2 linked regions of the Drosophila melanogaster genome follow. The protein of the gene in region 1 interacts with the protein of each later gene in a pairwise test. Each region holds a gene or a part of one and is shown on either strand. Other genes may lie near its edges.

Region 1 (4,188 bases):
CGACCCGATCCGCTCCTCATGCCCAGTCCCGATCGACAGCAGTGGCCAGTCCCCAATCCCCGCCAGACAACCGCAAGGCGGCAAAGGAGCGACACAAACCGCACATAAAACTGTCACGGAGTGTGTTGCGGTGTGTCAATGGCCAGCGAGATGTGGATTCCGATCCATGGCAGCACCACCACCCACGTGCAACACAAATCACTCCGGTGGGTGAATGTGGATGGGTGCATTTGGATGCATATTCGGATATTCGTCCATGTTTGTGCCATTGACTTTGCAACTTTGTTGCGGCTCTCTTGCTCTGTCTGTTGCTCTGTTTGTCTGTTTGCCAATAAAACAAACAAAGAAGTTTGTCCCCCAAACCGGCAGTGTGCGAAAGATACAAAGATACCAGCTGGGTATCCGTATCTGTGTATCTACATACATTTGCACCGGAAGTGCAACTCAAACAGCGAGACACGAGACAACTTTTTGCTGCAGATCCTTTCCATCAACGTTTCCATATTTTCCTTTTGTCTAGAAAGTTTTCCCACTCAGCTCCACTCCTGTTTTTATCACTGACAAGTGTCAGAAGCAAAAGAGCCATGGAAATTAAAGTTCCATTGGCGGAACCCATCAGACCACGTTCGACAATCGATGATGAGTGTCATTGGAACATGGTAAGAACCTAAAGAACCACATTTAATGAATATGCCATAGTTTTTAAGGAAGTTAAAGGTAATAGATACATTACATACTCAGATGAAATTAAGCATACAAACACCAATTACCTCTTTGTAGAAGTCTTTAAAAATCACATCCCTTAGTTAACCACACTTGAAGTGGTAATTATATCAACATTCCAGTGCGCAGACAGTAATATATATTTAGTTATATTTAGTTTTTTTTTCCCCCTAAACTACTGTGCACGCTCGTTGGCCGTTATTCAACTGGCTGTACGTGATTACTGCCTGATTGCAGGACTAGATAAAAGCAGCAGACCTCGTAATTATGGCCTCAGATCCTTTTTACGCCGCCATCACTGCGCCTTTCTCACTCAATGAAGCGCAATAATTGAGGAGCTTAATGCAAATTCCTAGCCCAAAAGGGCAGCCACGCCCACTAAGCTGAAGTTGTGGGCGCGGGCGGAGAAAGTGGTGGTCGGTTAATGCAAGAGCCGGCACAGTGTATGCAAATGAGTTTCCAATGACTTGCCACAACGAAAGCAAGGCAAAAACAAAACAAAACGGCACGCAGCAAAGCGAAGGATATGACGTTGTGTCGCCTGCTGCACTTGAACTTGCCCATTAACTTGGCCCCATGCGTCTGCCCCATGTCTGCCAATATGCACTAAATATATATATATATATATATATATGTACATCCAGGCGTACATATCTAGAGATACAAGTGAGTCCCGCTGGCGGAGTGAAAGCGTCATAGCCACTTGTATTATACTTGGCTTAAGGCATTTTATGCGAAACTTGCGCTTTATTGGGTTCTCCTTTTAACGCTCAACTTAAAGCGATAAGCGAATTGCAATTTAGGTTCAGTGTCTGCCCTCTATTTCCCCTATCGGTGCACTTAAATGCTGTGCGGGAGTGACACTAAAAGCCTCTCCAGTCGGAAGACCAGCAGGCGGCATTGCACATTTACGATACTAAATCACTTAAGCCCGTTTTTGATTAGCTTTATTTCAAGGAATATGGAAAAACATTCAAGGCTTCCTATATAATATAATATATTTACTTGACCGTTTAACATGTTGGAAAACTCGTTTTTACATTGTGAAGATCCTTTAAAGGCCTTCAAACATTCGAATAGGCTTTAATAGGCAGCAGTCCACTTTAAGCGAGTAAGCATTTTCCTACCATCACATACCTGGATCACGAACCAACTACCCGAAACTTTATTTTTATGTTAAGTCGCTTAAAAAATTGCAAGTTGGATATATGCTAGTCTTTCGAAATTTAAATTTTCGCGCCTAGCTAAAAAAGAAGTGGCAGCACACAGTTGTAACTTGGAGAGTTGGCATCCTCCGCACATCAGCTGTGATTTGTTTACATTACGTTTTGCTAAGTGTCGTAATTCGGGAAAAGTCGCCAATTTGGAGCAACCTCTTATGATTATTCCAAAAATGTCGAGGCATGCTCTGATAGGTACGTTCAAAGGTGTTAGCCATCGGGCGCAGCCACCAATAACCAGGAATCTCGCTCAGGTGGTGGCACTGGCTTCATCGGTCGCAACCTGGCTAACCATTTGACCAAAAAGGGTTACGATGTGACGGTGATCTCCCGCATGCCAGGTGCGAAGCGTATCACCTGGCACGAGCTGGAGAAGAATGGTATTCCCGGATCCGTAAACGCCGTGGTAAATGCCACGGGCCAGAACACATTGGATCCAACGAGACGCTGGACTCCAGGATTCCAGCAGAATGTGTGGAACTCGCGAATCAACTCCTCAAAAACTTTGGCTCAGGCTATTAAGTCGGCTCCCCAGGTCTCATCTTTCGTGAATCTATGCGGTGTGAGTCACTATAAACCCTCGGAGTCCAAGGTTTACACCGAGGAGGATCAGGTGCAAGGATTCGACTACATGTCCAGGTTGTGCTTGGCCTGGGAGGAGGCTGCACACACTGGTAGTGAGCAGGATTGTAAAACCGTAAGTCAATACTATAGAGCATCTACAATAGGTATAAAAACCGCTTAATCCTTTTCAGACCATCCTGCGGTGTGGCGCTGTTGTGGGTCATGGCGGGGGCATGGTTCAGTCCATGTGGCTGCCCTTTAAGTTTGGCGTAGGAGGACCATTGGGTAATGGAAACCAAATAATGCCATGGATACACCTGCACGATCTGTGCAGCTTGATACAGTACATCATAGAGAAACCAGTGCCAGGAGTGGTCAATGCGGTGGCCCCAGAAATAACCAGCAATTTGGAGTTTAGCAAAGTAAAAATATCACAGCTTCTTAATACAAACACTATAATATCTTACGTTTTTGTCAGGCCTTTGCCAAAGCACTTCATCGCCCGTGTATCTTCGGCGTTCCAGAGTTTGTTGTCCAAGCCATCTTTGGACCAGAGCGGGCAGCTCTGGTTTTAAGTGGTGCCAAGGTCAAGCCACAGAAAGCTCTATCATCCGGATTTAAATTTCAATATCCCAGCGTCAAAGAGGCTGTGACGCAACTGACCCTCAAAGGATAACCGAATCTACACTGAATTCTGGTTACACGTATGCTTTATTATAAAGCAGTCTGTATATTAAATAGATGTTAGTACCAAGCGCAAATTAAAACGAATTTCTGCGATAGGGGGATTTATGAATCACGCCCTCCGAAAATAGACCCATTTAATTTGTTTACTCATTAGTCTTGTCCACCAGTATTTCATCATTATTTTGGTACCACATTAAATGTAATCATTGACTTAATTCGATTTATAAAACGTGTATAAACTTTAATTGCCTGAAGGGGAATCTTTTGCGAAACCAACATGTAATCTTGTACTGTAAGCTAAATAAAAGCGTGTAGATACAAGGGGATTTCACAAGAATTATTCAACGTGTGCGAAAGGTAGATAAAGAGATAAATCCGATCCCTTTTGCTGCGTTACTTGCCAATTAATATAATTGCAACCAAAGCTAAATTAATAGCAAAAAAAATTAATTGACTTGCACACGCTGTGAATACGCTATAAAAACCGACATAATCATAATCATACATCAATGGCTGATATTTTTTTTACCTCTCGGTGGGTTCTATAAATTGGGGACCCATGTCGGTTGGAGAATCAGTATCGTTTTTTGAGCTGCCGAACCAAAAATGCTTTCAAAATCGCAGCTATTACTGCTCGTTGTCGGGTTCTGCCTGGTATGATGATGTGTTATCACGCGACTCTAGCCCGGCTATAACTAATCTATTAACAGAATGCAGCCGTCTCGGCTGACGTGGACTGCAGCAAGCGGCCATCGTTTGTCAATCCCAAAACCTGTTGTCCAATGCCGGACTTCGTGACCGCCGAGTTGAAGCAAAAGTGCATCAAGTTTGACATGACTCCGCCGCCGCCGCCGGATGGGGAAGCAAGTGGATCCTTTGAGAGCAAGCGTCGTCATCATCATCCGCATCCCCCACCAGTTAGTACCACTGGAATATTGTTCTTGATCATGATAACTTGATTACCCACAATCCGTTCAGTGCTTCTTCTCCTGCA
Region 2 (4,740 bases), on another chromosome or scaffold:
CCCACCATCCACTACTCACTCCGGCTCCTTTGCCGCCTCGGACTTGAACATTTTCTTCAGAATATCCATAATCTGCTGCTTGATACGCCGATAATTGCTTGGGGCCGAATGAAAAAACGGAAAATCCCTGACTGTGCGCAAAGCAAAGTGGTTTAAGGAAAACTAAAAGAACCAAAACGACGCGAGTTTCAACTTGTCCCGTCTATCCTTTTTCCGCACGTCTATTTATTGTTTATCTATTGGGGATTTTTTAGCATTAATTTTCACACGACCGTCGAAAAACTGACAACTGCACAGCTGACAACTGAAAATTTGAAGTGATGAGCTCGTGTCACGCGCCCCCAACAGCTGATGTTAGCACTGCGCCACCTAACAGTGTCTGCGCTGGAAACCTCTCTGTTAACGCCACGCTGTTCAGATCTAAAAAGACCGTTACATTTATACGGATTTATTATTTTTGGAATTTTTGATGGTATTTCAATCATGAGTGATTTGTCAAGGAACCTTAAATGTCTACTAAATGCTTCATATTCCTTTAATTGATGTTTTTTTTTTACTTTGAGCACATTGAAAATACTTATTTGTTTGATTTCTATATTTCGTATTCATCAAGCAAGATAAGTAATTTTTAATGATTTTACGTTTCTTAATTTACTATCTTACATTAAAGCTTAAAAATATAGTTTATTTGCGTGTTAACCGCCTTAATAAAACTCTGAGCACATGATTAAAAGTTATCAATAAACGGAAACAAACAAACTGACCCACTACTCTATATTCGTTTTATGAACGGCAAATATTTGCAGGCAATTTTCCTCTTTTGTTTATTTTTGGATCTTAATGACATATTTTTTATTAATAGCTTCGCAAGTTTCTTATGCCTAAGTCTGTTGATCGATTTAATTTCGAATTTAGCTTAAGATCATGCATTTCCTGGTCTCGGCTTCGTTCGCTGCTGCTTATCAACCAGTTATTACGATGACTTTGTTGTTTTATTTCGACCACGAATCGAGAGATAAATGAGATAGTCAGTCCGTAGGAATGAGCACGCACCGCAGACCGCAAACAAAATAGACAGACTCTATGTAAATCAAGCAGACAGCAGACAAGTTTTATGGTGGGAAATTGCTGGGTGAGCCGTCCGTGCTGATGAAATGCCCGTTGGAAGCGAACGGTGGACGTTATCGGGGCGTAATCCACACCATTCGGTGCTTATCAAAATTGCAGTCCATATAACCATGACCGATAATAAACCGCCGTCATGATAAACAAAAGGCTTTGTTATTATATATTCTTGTTTTTAATTATTAAAAGTTTTTTTGCGGTTATATGGGTGGGGTGACCACGAAAGCACTTGCATTAAGATTACATTTATACACATATGAATCTCATCGGTAGATTGAGGGATGGGATTGTTTAGGGGGTTGTGGGTTTTGGGTGGCGGTAACAATGATTTCAAACTGAACAAGGACCGGGGATATCGTTTGTTTGTCAACAAGGGATAACAATGAACGTAGTGGCTCCTGGACTAGCTGGGCGCAGCCGGTTCGAACTTGCAGACGACGGCGAACATATCCTCGCCGCCCAGGTACTTGGCCAGCCATTTGTTTTTTATCACGGCCAACTTGAGGGTCTCGCAGCCGAAGCGGGCATTCAGATTTGTGTGCAGGGCGCGTCCCATGCCCTCAATCACAAGCAGGTCAGTCTCATTGGCGGCGATGGCGTCGCACAGCTCCTTGGGGAGAGTGCGCATATCCAGGCAGGGACCAGTCTGTCCATTTGCATAGACCAGTAGTTGTCCCTTTGACCAGGCCTGCTCCAGGACCTCACACTCGCGCGAGCAGTCGTCCAGCAAGGATTTCAGCTCCTCGCTGGTCACATCATTTAGAGCAGGTTCACTGTTGGCGCAGAGCAGCACCTTGGTGCCACGTTTCAGCAGTCCACGGACAAAGGGAAGCACACCCAGAACCACATCCACGCCGCTGTTGTCCACAAAGACCACGGCGCACTTGTGTGGCTCGCCCTTGAGGCGATTCAACCAGCTGTCCAGGTTGTCAAGCAACCAGGGTCGCTTCTCAATGCGATCCAGGGCTGAATGAAGTCCGAAATTGCTGTCCTGCTCCAGTATGTTAGATATGGCCTGTGCGCCCCAGTCAAACATGTTGCCGGCGAGGACACCGCGTACCAGCTCCGTCCACCTTGTGTCCTCATCCGCCAGGGCATCCAATTCCTGCAGACGCTGCTTCAGGCGGGCAACAGCCGATGCATTTTCCAGCCTCTTTTGTCTCAGCCAGGGATCTGTAAATCCGTAGCGGCGCAACAGGGTTTCGTTTAGCTTGAGAAGCTCACTGGTGCCTAGAATCACCTTGCCCTTGTTGACTGGCACATTACGCTGGTGCTCCTCCAGCCGCTGCAGATACGCCGCCTGGAACTGCTCCGCCCGCTGGGTGGCCGTGTGATCCTCCTCCTGTGACTTGGCCGCCACCTTCGCGAACTTGGCCACCATGTCGCGGAAGCAGTTGAACCAGTAATCCGCCGCCTTTCCATCCGTGTTCAGGTCCAGGGTGTCCGGCTGATAGACAGCCGGATCCGGCAGCAAGCTGCTACTGTACATTGCGACGCGGATAGACGCGAGGCGTATGATTTTCAGCGCTGAATTAATCGCCGTTTTTCTAAGTTTTTCTTTTATTATGGCAGGTGTGACCAGGGGCATTGCACGCGAAGTTGATATGCAATCGATAACTAAATGTATTCCGTTTTGTGCAAGCCGATTACTCGCCGACTATCGTGCTTAATTATACCGTTAATTTCACAAACCTGATAAATGGGCGGGCAGTTCGAAAATACTACTTTGTACCAATCCCAAAATTTTATGTATATATAGAATATATATCAAAATAAATTTTTTTTGTTTTTTTATATTGCCCTTCCATTTACAATTTATTTTTAAAAATTTCTAATAATATTAAAGTAGGATTTAGAATAGTTAATTCAACTGATTCAATTCAATTAATCCACTAAAAAACAGCATTAAAAATAATTTTAAGCTATTGTTTTTGAACAGTCTTATTGCAACTATCGATAACATTAGTCCCTCCGCACTTTTATTTTCCAGCACACCTCAGCTGGGCACTCTAAAAACCTGAAAAATCTATTTAAGCAACCCGCAACGCTCTCTTCTTCGTAATTTTTTGCTCCGATACGAGGATATGTCGCGTCGCGCATGAATTAATTATTAATCAAAAGAGAGTTAACAGTGCTTGTGCAGTGCAAGTGTGAGTAGTTTGGTGCAATTTTTTGCGGATAAAAAATCAAATTTAAAACACCCACACGGCCAAGCAGTTGCATACGTGTGCACTTGATACGCACACATAAACACACTCACACACGCACACACAGCCGCGCGTACGCAACAGAGAGTTGGAGTGGTAGTAGTGGAAAGTGCAGCAGGCGCGGTCCATAATACACACATATGTATGTAAGTAATTCGGGCATACGGACGTGTAAATAAACCGGGTCGCCCACAATTTAGGGACGTTACTACGCCCTCCGCCGGAATCGAAATCGGAATCGCGGCAAACGTGTTCAATTTCCGAATCTCCCCTCGCTCCATCCATCTCTTTCGCTCTCTTGCGGTGCGTACGATTCTGTGTGTGTGTGTTTAGTTAGTGAGCGGCCTGCCGTGTGTGTGTGTGTGTGTCTGTTTTTGTTGGTCACTTTAATTCGCCACATACACACACTATCAAACAGAAAGAGGAAAAAATTCGCGTTAATCCTGCAACGTTTCTGTTGTTTTCTTCCCACATCCTTTCATCCAGCAGCTTCCAGAGAGATTTTCCCTTTGGGTAAGCGATTTCCAGCGAGACTTTTCATCTGTTTCCATTTGTATTTCCCCCAATGCACTTACTTATTGGACTCTTAATGCCAGTGCGTTCGTGAACTTGATTCTGATTGGAGGTCGAGCCAATTAAACCGGTTCGTGTAAATAAAATCCGCTAAAGATTCGTCTTCTTGGTTTTCTGGTTAAATGCAGTTCTCCTGGTCAATACTCGTTAAATTACCTAGTTTTCAATAGGGTATCTAGTATTTGGGGAGGATTTTCAATCTTATAGTAAGCGTAAATAAATACATTTCTTCTTATCAGAAGCAACAGTTATTCTTAAAAGATTTTGTCTTTTTCAAGATTTTTTGAATTAAATCATTAAATTTTGATTTTAAATAGTTAGAAACTCATAATACTCTTATAATTACCGGAAATCTTCTGATGGACTCAGATAACTATGTCTACTTAGAATGTTTTCCTTATTTTTTCTGCTCCCATTTAAGCATTGCAAATGCATTTCTTTTTATCAATCGCACTGTGGAACCGAATGCATTAAGGTCGCCGCTTTCCACCTGCAATTAAGGCCCAAAGCTAATGACTAAATGACAATGGGCCACGTACTTATCGGCCGCACTGTAATGATGATAGTGACCGCCGGATCGGCGGAAAATAATGCTCACTTGGGTCGTGACTTCTCGTTGGGTAAATCCAATGCCTAGAAGACACAAAAAGTAAAAACACTGATTGTGGGAAAGATTTCGCGGAAGCAGTTCCTACAAATTTTACTGATTGACAAAATTGGTTGCTTGTTATGGCTGAATGCTTTGCGATATTACTTAATGGGCCTTATCTATACGATTACTTCATAGTTGTCGCCAAAACTAAAACGTGATTGATAGTATTAAATCTTTTGAAAC

What was found.
Region 2: the proteins of CG8768 (region 1) and CG5828 interact in a two-hybrid assay, tested with the Drosophila melanogaster proteins (one large-scale study listed by BioGRID).

Annotation. Positions count from the first base shown.
Region 1 is NT_033778.4:12,690,533-12,694,720, reverse strand, and holds CG8768 (uncharacterized protein), read left to right. Parts: upstream 1-2,030; 5' UTR 2,031-2,101; coding exon 2,102-2,138; intron 2,139-2,197; coding exon 2,198-2,640; intron 2,641-2,698; coding exon 2,699-2,929; intron 2,930-2,985; coding exon 2,986-3,183; 3' UTR 3,184-3,413; downstream 3,414-4,188. Other genes in the region: Obp49a (Odorant-binding protein 49a), read left to right, coding at 3,801-3,848, 3,905-4,111, 4,173-4,188.
Region 2 is NT_033779.5:5,091,980-5,096,719, reverse strand, and holds CG5828 (uncharacterized protein), read right to left. Parts: upstream 2,745-4,740; 5' UTR 2,615-2,744; coding exon 1,529-2,614; 3' UTR 810-1,528; downstream 1-809. Other genes in the region: CG4230 (uncharacterized protein), read right to left, coding at 20-69.